Linked DNA regions of Drosophila melanogaster. The gene in region 1 interacts genetically with each later gene. Each region holds a gene or a part of one and is shown in the gene's direction. Other genes may lie near its edges.

Region 1 (5,163 bases):
CATTCTTTATATATCTATTTCTAAATTCAACAGTGGTAAGAAAGAAGTTGTCCTCCGAGAACACCTGTTCTGATGATTCTACATTCAAAGAAGGAAAATACATCAGAGCGTTGCCAGAGTCCAGCTGTCTCTCCTAGTTATTGCCACCCTTGCCAGACTTTCAAAAGGGGGACGAAAAAATGGTACTCAACACTGCATTTTTGCAAGTTTTGTTGTTTGATCGCGCTTTTTACAATTAATTTAACAAGCTGTATTAAAATGGTTCTTATTATGCGTGTTTCCCCGCCGGAACATGGTCTGTTGTATACGGCAAACAATATCAAGCTGAAACTAGGCGACAAAGTGGTGGGCGAAGGCACAGTTTACATTGCCCAAAAGTGAGCGCTTTAGAGCTTTGCCGGTGTCTGGTATTGCTCTCTATTTATTAAAATCTTTTAAAGTAACTGTTATTTCTTGTTCCTAGCACGCTATCCTGGCAGCCAACTGAATTGGCGGAGGGTATATCCATTGAGTGGAAGCAGGTTAGCCTGCACGGTATCTCTTCGAATCCGAGAAAGTGCATCTACTTCATGCTGGACCACAAAGTCGAGTGGAACGGCGTCTACGGAGATCCTCCCCAGCAGGCAGTCAATGGTCGGAATGGCGGTGGTTCGGAAGCGGAAGTGGACGAGGGAAATGGCAGCGATGAGCACGATGAGGACGACAATTTCGAGGATGCCGTAGACGAGCAATTTGGAGAGGTCACAGAGTGCTGGCTTATGCCGGAGGACATTCACACCGTAGACACTATGTACAGTGCCATGACGACTTGCCAGGCCCTACATCCTGATTCGGCAAACAGTGATTCGGAAGACAGCGATCCTATGCAGGATGCCGGTGGCTTAGAGGATGAGGCTATGGAGGAGGATGATGCATTGACGCTTGGGCGCAACGGCGTGCAGAATCTCAGTTTGGACGACGACGAAGAGCGATTCGAGGACGCTGATGAGTGAAGCATAACCTATTTAAACATCAATACCACGTTTTATACCAGATAAAATGTACGATATATATGTATTGGATTAGATTTTGGAGTAATAAATAGAACGCGGTAAGCGCGATTAAAACAAAACTACGTGCTTTCCTTGACGTTTTCCTTATTACGAGCGATTTCTTTCTCTAAATCCTCTTCGCTAATGGGCTGCGAGAGCTAAATAAATAAAATGTGGTATTTATTAGGTGTACTTCGAGAATATATAGTGGTATATACATACAGCTTGAGCAACATCCGGCAGAGGAAGGGCCTGTCGGTAGGGATCGCCATTGGACGGCACTTTGTCGTAGTTCCAGTAAGTAAAATCTTGAAATACTCCAGTTAGCCGCAACTTTCGGTCGGAGGTATCGCTGATGGGCTTCTCTGTTTCTTGCAGAACTAATCCGCAGTATCCTTCGGGCACTTTCAACTTCTCTCCCATTAAAGGAAATCCGCGCAAGGCGTTCGTCAGGATTCCTGTGCCGAATTCGGTTGCTTCACGTGTGTAGTTGTTGAAGTAATTTTTTACATTCGCTTCCCCATCGCCGTCTATTTTGGCCGGCAAGTAGTGCACGTCTAAATTCTTACCCTTGGCAAAGTTCTTACCATTAAAATCTAGAGTAATTGACATTGTTACTTTTTGCGCAAAATAAAAGGTAAACAAAAACTCCGCCAAAATGTGTTTGTTTGTTTGCGCTTAAGAAGGATGGTTTGAGTAGCAGCTAAACTCATCGATTTACAACCGATAGCCAATAGTAGTTTAATTCGATAGTAACAATATAACAAAAACATACAATTATATTGTAAATCAAAGCTTGTAGATGGTAACGAGATCACTGTTTACCATCACTGAACAAGTTTTCATGCTGTTTTAAATTTAGTATCTGACTACATACGTATTATATATATATATTTGACAATATGCGATGTTTTCCAAGAATATTAGCACTAAAAAATCGATAGTATAAGAGAGTAATCGATTTTTCACTCAGCACTAGACTTTGTGCCACCACTAATAAAAATGGCGTTCGAAGTTGTAGTTAAATTTTTATGGGAATCCGTAAAACAATAGCGCGTGAGGCCGCGGCAGCATAATTCGCGCACTATCAAGCGTTCCGTGGACGAGCAACTGTGTGGGCGTGCGTTGTTCGCAGAGTTTTCGTCCGATTTTTAGTGAACTAGAACAATACAAGTGTGCCTCCTTTGATTATTATTGCAAATTTTAGTACCACACACACTCGCGCACACATCGATAGCGAAGGAAATACTAGTGCGAGTAAATAGTGTGGCACCCATACTGGAGCAGCGACTAAATTAAAGTTAATTAAACACACAGTGGTATTTCATTTAATGCAATTTGTGAAATAATAGAGTGGCAGAGGGAGAGAGACAGATCGAACCCCGCTCCCGCTCTCCCCTGCAGCATGCGTGAACTGCGTCCGTGTGTGTGTGCGTGAGAGAGTGAGCGAGACATGTGCGTGTGAGGTGCAGCAGCAACAACAACAACACCAGCAAAACAATTTCGGGTGAGTTTTTCGTGAATATTTTGCCTACCTGAACGATTTCCTACCTACGCCCTCGCTTTTGGGTTGGGTTTTTGCACTTGGGGGGAAAATACACACATTATCTCTAACGAACTTACTAATAATACCCATTTCCATTTGTTATCTTTGGATTGCAGCCTATAAAAAAAGCAAATCGGTGTTATTATTTATATACAAATATATCTATGTGCGTGTGCCATGACACACAGCAACAAACGCAAAAACTACAACAATTGCAACCGTCAAGGCTACCGCCACAGCAGCAGCAGCAACAATAACAACTGCAGTTACCTTCGGCAATGAAATTACCTCTCACCGCCCTCACCTGCTCCTCCTACACCTCCTTTGCTTCCTCTCCTCCACCTTCTACTTGCACTTCTTCTTCTTCGCTCTCCGTTCGGCGCTTTAACGACAACAACAACTACAACAACATGCCCGCGACATATAAATAATCAATACACAAAGTAAATCCATTTATTTTTATACAAATCAAACAATATCAATTAAAAGTCGAAAATTATGAATAAATTGGATTACCCACGTCGCAATGGTACACACAAAGTTCGAATAACGAGTAAGTCTGCTGATAAAAACAATTGTTAATAAAACCCACTAATATATCGCTTTACTTGCAGTATTGTGTGCTAGAAACTTGGCCCGCAAGGATTTATTTCGTAAGTATTTTAATATTAATTGGATATATCTTAGCATCTAATTTCCTTAGTGCCTATCACCTATCCGTCAAATAGGACGGTCTAAATTAGTTCCTAAAGCAGAACTTCCGGTCATCAAAAGCATAAAAGTTTTACCCTGTACTTCTTAATCGTTAGTGTTATAAAATATTAAATGTAACAGCAAAAAATTCCTTAAAACTATTTACCCAGCATGCCTTTGGCGTAATCACTTATTTTCGTAATTTGCTCACATGTTTGGGCTAATTTCTTGACTCACTTTTGGTTAGTTACGGGAAATTTGGAGCAGTTGGCATTCGCCAGACCCAGCAAGCTTTGTTTTCACGTTTGGTTTTCTTTTCGAAAACCATCAATTACGCACCTGTTTAGCCGTCCAATCGAAACACACATTGTGGTAAATTAAAGTTTTGTTTTATTTGCGGCGCTTGTGGTGCTGCTGTTTCCTCTTCTTCACATTCATCTATGCATATAAGGTATCGCTAAATTTAGCACTTCCTTTCTTGTCTACTTTCATTTTTATACAAATTGCGGAAAAGCCCCCTCCCCCCATCGCGCCCATCAAGTCGAGTGGGTGAGTGCGAGTGGTGCGCCATATCTGAGCTCTTTTCCCATATTTTGTTAGATATAACAAAAGTGATTATTACTAATTTGCTTTCATTGCGGCTCACTCACTCGCTCGTCCACAAATACAATCGCAATATTTTTTCTTTCTGTGTATTTGTGATTTACTATTCGCTTTTTCCACTTCTTGTCCATTTTTGTACACTTGGTTGCACTTAAATCACGCGCCACGCATTGTTCAATGTGCTACTAAAAAAAAAAAAAAAACATTCGATGTTCCTTATCCGTGAGATTCCAATAGGGGGATATTTGGGTTTCCGAAAATGGGTCTGTGGCCGCTGGTGTCACTTCAAATGAATTGTTTATTAATGCTAATGCTTGAATTCCGTGGTTGACTACAGAATATGGCGCATTCATTTGCTATTTTCCCTCTACTACCATATACATTGTACACTAGTAGTTGGTTCTTCATATTTTATCGATTCTTTGTGATAAGATTTTAGTTGAACCCAGCGGGGCTTACGGTCATTATAGGGAAAATCCATAATGGGACTTTCCGATATTCGTTATTGTGAGTAATGTAAACTTTTTTAACATATCAAGTTCGAAAAATGTGGAAGTAGTATGCTTTGAATTTTCCTTTGATTCAACACACTTGCCAAAGAGTTCAGTTAATCAGATAAAGAATATAGACGAAAGCATGATATCGTTTCTGTTAAAACGCCGAGCTTGTGATGCTTACAAGATTTCATTAGGACTAACTCGTGCATATAGAGCCTTAACAGAAGTAAAAAGCCTTCAAAATGCCTTACGACCTGGTAATAAAACTGGAAATATCAAGCTGGTAAACATATACCGAACTTCTAGCATACAAAATGTGAAGAAGAACCAACTAAGTGACGCTGAAAGCGTTATTCCACTCTTATTGCGGCCAGCCAAACCTGTGCTGATTATGAGAGAAGGATCTCAAACCGATTGTAACGACGATTTGCTGTCCTCTGAGCAAAGAGCCAAAAAAAGGGAAAGCATAAAAAAATCCGAAGTAGATTGCCCAAAATTTCCAGCTGAGAAACTTCCGCCCACAACGAAATTTCCTATTAATGAAAATGCCAAGAAGGTTTTAGATCCAGCCGACCAAAGAGAACTCGAGGCCAATTTGTTAAAAAGGCTTAAAGATATGGCTAAAAGAAAGAAATCTCGACTAGATGAGAAAGTTGACGAGCTGAGGGATAATTTTATAGGCTGGAATTATGCTGCTCTACAAGGAAGAACTATTGTGACTGTGGATGCCAAGGAATCAACTCCACCGAAAGGATCTGGGCCGGCCACCCCGGCAGGCTCTCCTCCACCTAAA
Region 2 (5,089 bases), on another chromosome or scaffold:
CGCCCATGCCAAAAGGCACTAATTGCCGCCGCATTTGCAGCTGATTTGGCGCTAAGCGAATGCGAGCTGCCAGGCAAATATTTATGGGGTCATTCCCGTCTCGTGTCAGCCGCTGGCCAAAAAGCCAAAACAACTAAAACAGCTTCAATATCAGCTAGCTAGTATGGCCCTGAAGATTCCAACCGAGTTGCTAATTTAGTAAATAACAAATTTGATAACAGTGCGAGCAACCTGGTTTATCTACTAATTGTTAGCCAAGCTAAGTGGCAGGGATTGGGCAAATTTTATTGCAAAAACTGATATAAAAAAGGTGAAGCCTTTTTGTCAATTAAATATGTCATTTGCTTTTTATATTTGCACATCTTATGGTGCCTGAAAATATTTTCATATGTAATTATTGAACATCTATTTCTTAGCAAGCTGAGGAGAATTATATCAGCAATGTCAAAATTATAATAATAATATTTTTACAGAGTATGCCAGTTTGTCTCGAAAGCTTGAAGTGCGATTTTGAATATATTCAGTACAATCAATTAGTAGCTTATGACACATTTTATATATATTATGAATATTTATAATATATTTATTTCTATTCAATGCACTTTTGTGCCAACGGAGCATTGCCCAATTTCCATCGAAATCGCAGCCATTTTCGAGCTTCTCGCCAATTTCCATCACGTTGCAGTCTCGATCGCTTCGAAATATATATGTAAGTTGGAAATTCAGAAACTCAGAAAAACAGAAATTCAAAAAGTCGGGACTGAGACTTTGACGTTCGATCGTGACAGAATATGAATTGAAAGGGAAACCAGATTGTTAGCACTCGACTATGGGTATAGAGATGGTAGAGGTACTGGGCATGTCCATAAGGTTGGATACCGTTGTGATAGTGTGTGTATTCATAGTTACACACATTATCGAGCCAGTGAAAATGTTCTACACAACTTTGCTATGCTAGTGACGACTATTTTTAGACGTCCAGCACCACAGCACTTTGTTGGCAAAAATGCAGTAACAAAAATAAATAACTTGGCCAACAGTTAGTTAGTTGTTGTTTGCCTCGCCCCGCCGCACTTTTTTTTTTTGATGGATCATCGCCGTCGTGACGTCAGCAAATGTTGTTTTGTTCGCTGCACCGAAGGCGCAAAAATATTCGGCATATTTGTGTTGATCTCTAGCCGTCAAGCGTCATGAAACGTAATGGATACAGCTCCTTCCGCCTGGCCACATCCACGGCATTGTGGGCTGTCCTAGGTTAGTTTTCACTGTACTCGAGTCGAGTGGGCGAGGCCAAACGCCTCACTAGCCGCCAATCCCGGGCACGATTGGGCTGCCAAGAAGCTTTTGGCTTCCATGGGAAGACAGCGAAAGCCTTTAAAATGCCAAGCTGCACTGGGAAAAAAAAAACAATGAAGTAATGTAATTGGTCATGAACGAAGCTTTTGTAAATATACGCATTAAGCGATTTCTTTAAAATATATATTTTTTTTTACTTATGTAATAAAACTATTTTAAACTGTTTTTTAAAGCTTATAAGTGAAAATAAGTTCCTAATTATTAGAAAACTCAAAAGTATTCATTATTCATTACTTTTTTATCCTGAAAAGTTGAAAAGGGTTTGCAAATAAAATGAATATGATGAGATATTATGATAAATCACCTTTAGTTTCTAATAAAGCTACCAAAAAAGCGTTCTAAAGATATCCCTCGGAACCAAATGTATCTGAAAGTCGTAATATCTTAGATCCTAACGTAATGCTCTTGGAAATGGCTTTCTGTGGCTACACATACACATACACATGGCTACACAGCGATTTGTCGCCGCCGTGGAGAGGAAAGAAGAGGAAAGGAGAGGAAGGGAGAGGAGAGTCCGCTTGGAGCTGTCTATGTCTATTTTGCGAAAGGGGGAGATGGTAAGGTGAGCGATGCCGGCGAGAGTGGGTGGCGACATTGGGAGCGGAGAGTGATGGCACCAGAGAGAGAGAGAGAGAGAGAGGGAGATCGAGTGAGAGAGCGAACCGCTATGTCTAGATCTAGGTCTATATGATTATATGCTGAAAACTTCAGTTTGTCAAAGATCGCGACGACCGAACGAACGACGCTAGAGAAACGCGCACCGAAATCGATGACCAATCCAAACGATAACGATTGCCAGCCCGCAGGAGTCATTTCGAAAATTGCGCGCGCGTTTTTGGCGACGTATTGCATATAAATCATATGTATATGTCCGCATATACATATAAACGAAACGAACATATAGAACATATATTTCCATATCTCGATATTCTATTTCATTGTTCATTGTTGCCCCTATTTTTTTTTTCTTGTGAAACGTATGTATGTGCGCGCGTCTGTGGAATGGTGCAATTACAGTCGTAGTTATTGGTTTTTAATGAACCTCTTAAATTGCCATTGAGGAACGTGAAAAGTGCCCGAAAGCCCGAAACGGAAATTATACTTTACACTCATGATTATTAGTTGTGGAAATTGCAGCTTAAATCGCCATTAATCGACACACACATATGGGCGTGGGTGAATCGTTAAATAGTACTCATAGTGATTGCACTGCTACACTGCGTTTCGGCATGTTAAGTCTGGCCGTTTTGAGAAGCAATAACTATTTAACCGAATTCTTCTATTGCCCTTTCAATAACTAAATAACACACAGCGACTTGGCAACGAAATGCTAGCTCTAGAACAGATGAAGGTAATGATAAGAGTGTCTCAACAAACAATACAATCCTGAAACGCACTGTACCTGCAACCTGAAAGCTCTTGCCCCTCTGGATTATAAGTCCGTCACTTTCGGTTTTAATGATCGCATTGAAATGGAATGTCATCGACCAATTTCAATTCTAATTCCATTCCGATTCCGATTCCGACCCAATATCGTCGAGATCGAGGCGACACACGCCCCAAAAACGAGACAATTACCCAGGAATGGGGCATGATTTCTTTTATTATTACTGTGTTTAGATCGAATCTGACGCCAAAAGGGCGACCTAAAAAAAAAAAAAAAAAAAAAACCAAGACAAGAAAAAACGTAATCACAAAGAATGGGAAAAATCAATCGAACATCGAACATTCGATGCGGACCAGTTGCAGAACGGCAAAGGGGGCAGATCGGTGGATAGCTGGGATAGATAGACAGATATATACATAGATATATAGATAGATAGATCGATCGATCGATCGGGCGATCGGGCGATCGGGCGGTCGGGCGAATGATGAAATTTCCAGAGCGTTTCAATAGCAACCGGCAACAGAAAGAAAAAGCAACACCGACCGACAACGAACCATTTACAATTCCAATCGAATGGCAATTGTTGCCGACTTGCAGCATGATTCAAATCGAGGGCGTGACAGAGGAAATGGGGCGGGGGGTAAATACCTAGATTACCGTACTCGATGACGCAGCCCAGGTATGTGTAGGTACTCTCGATCGCTTGAAAGTCGACAGATACTCGCAGTATCTAGCGACAGTGATGAAGAGTTTAACTGCGCTCGGAAAATCCATCATTATCATGCCGCTGATATGATAACCAACCATTGAAATGGCTAAGCAACAATCTGTTAGTAAGATTGTATGGTGTTTTATTTCGATCATTAAGCTAAACTAAAACTTCCATCACTTAGTTCAAACTTTAGCTTGTCTCACGAATCCCATTCCGTCCATCAATTGATCAAACAATCGATCGCCGGATCGTTTGAGTTTGTTTGATCGTTCGATGATCGCGACAACAAGAAGAAGACGACCAAAATTTAACGATGTTGGCCAGTTGGCTAACTGCGGTTTTACTGCCACTTTACGTGCTGCTGTTTTGTCTGGCAAACAAAACATTCGCACACACATGACACACACACGGCACACATGACGTATACGCGATATTTTTGGCCTGCTCTCGCACAGAAACAGAAAGACATAGTGCGAGTGCGAGTGGGACGGGTGGACTGGCGAAGGGAGAAAGAGCTACACGGAATCTCTGTTGCTAGGGTGGCAGTTTGTATGGGGGGTTAGTCAGCTTATAAATAATGGAATATCATCTAGGTGCTTTCTGAGTGCCGCAAACTATGGTGAACTTTCGTACGATGGAACCTCCGGAAAATTACTCAATCGAATCGCACACAAATTTCCCGGAAATCTTATATTTCATTTAATGCTTTTAAGATTTTTTTAAGAACTTTGAACTTAGTAGTTGGTCTCCTTTCAACCTATTCACTTTTAATTTGTCCACTGTTTCTAACTGATTCACACAGATGTCTCAAATGATTGGACCTTCTGGCTTCGATGACCATCAAATCAATTGCATGTGACTGCAGTGAAATAGTACTCAACCACACACGCATAAGTGCATATTTATGTAGTACACTTGAAGAAATTGCATTGAACAAATAATTACAAAAGGAAAAAATATTTTAGGCAGTACGATTTATGGAAAATGCAAATATTTCTAGATTGAAAAAAAAACTTACTTTTCAGCTGTTTTGGCTGTTTAAACTAATGAAACACACCAATATTGATCTTCAACGTCTCCGAACTGTTTTTCGAAATCAAGAAAAGAGAATTTTCTCTCAGTGTGCGCATACTTTCTGGCCTGTTATGCAGTCAAAAGCCGTCACTTTGCCGCTTCTGTTTCATTTGATGTCTTTCTGTGTGCGTTTGCCGTTCGCCATTTGCCATTTGCCATTTAAATGAATGCAGGCAATTTTGCGCTGGTGGCTGCTGTTTTTGCTGCTGTTGTGATTTGCTTTTGATTGGCATCTAATTTATGATTGACAGTTACATTAGAAACATCTCGGAACAGCAAACAATCAGAATCGGGCCTACCGCAAGATCTCGCCAAGGCATCGAAAAAGCATCGCCAGTTGAAGCATCGAAGAGCTGAGACCTTATGGTCGGATATCGACTTAGCTCACGGTTGTCAATCAAGCTATTAAATAATTTACAAACAAACAAACACACACGCGAACACACACATTACATACATATAAGCACACACACACAGCACGCACACATAGATGAGCAGCACACTGAGAATCGAATTTATGAACTAACATCTTGATTTACGTAGTCTTCGCTGGCTGAATG

What was found. Genes that interact genetically often act in the same process or in processes that back each other up.
Region 2: of Smurf (region 1) and sog, changing one enhances a phenotype caused by changing the other (phenotypic enhancement), as found in Drosophila melanogaster (one study listed by BioGRID).

The regions. Positions count from the first base shown.
Region 1 is NT_033778.4:17,590,775-17,595,937, forward strand, and holds the start of Smurf (SMAD specific E3 ubiquitin protein ligase), read left to right. Parts: upstream 1-2,016; 5' UTR 2,017-2,538; intron 2,539-2,693; 5' UTR 2,694-3,075; coding exon 3,076-3,130; intron 3,131-3,191; coding exon 3,192-3,230; intron 3,231-4,492; exon of another isoform or gene 4,493-4,509; coding exon of another isoform or gene 4,510-5,163. Other genes in the region: icln, read left to right, coding at 259-377, 464-992; CG30105 (uncharacterized protein), read right to left, coding at 1,112-1,189, 1,254-1,643; ND-51L1 (NADH dehydrogenase (ubiquinone) 51 kDa subunit-like 1), read left to right, coding at 4,510-5,163. UniProt on the Drosophila melanogaster protein: E3 ubiquitin-protein ligase which accepts ubiquitin from an E2 ubiquitin-conjugating enzyme in the form of a thioester and then directly transfers the ubiquitin to targeted substrates.
Region 2 is NC_004354.4:15,630,427-15,635,515, reverse strand, and holds the start of sog (short gastrulation), read left to right. Parts: upstream 1-2,081; 5' UTR 2,082-2,707; intron 2,708-5,089. UniProt on the Drosophila melanogaster protein: Putative negative growth factor. Antagonist of dpp, a protein involved in patterning the dorsal region and in the development of the neuroectoderm; dpp inhibition is enhanced by tsg.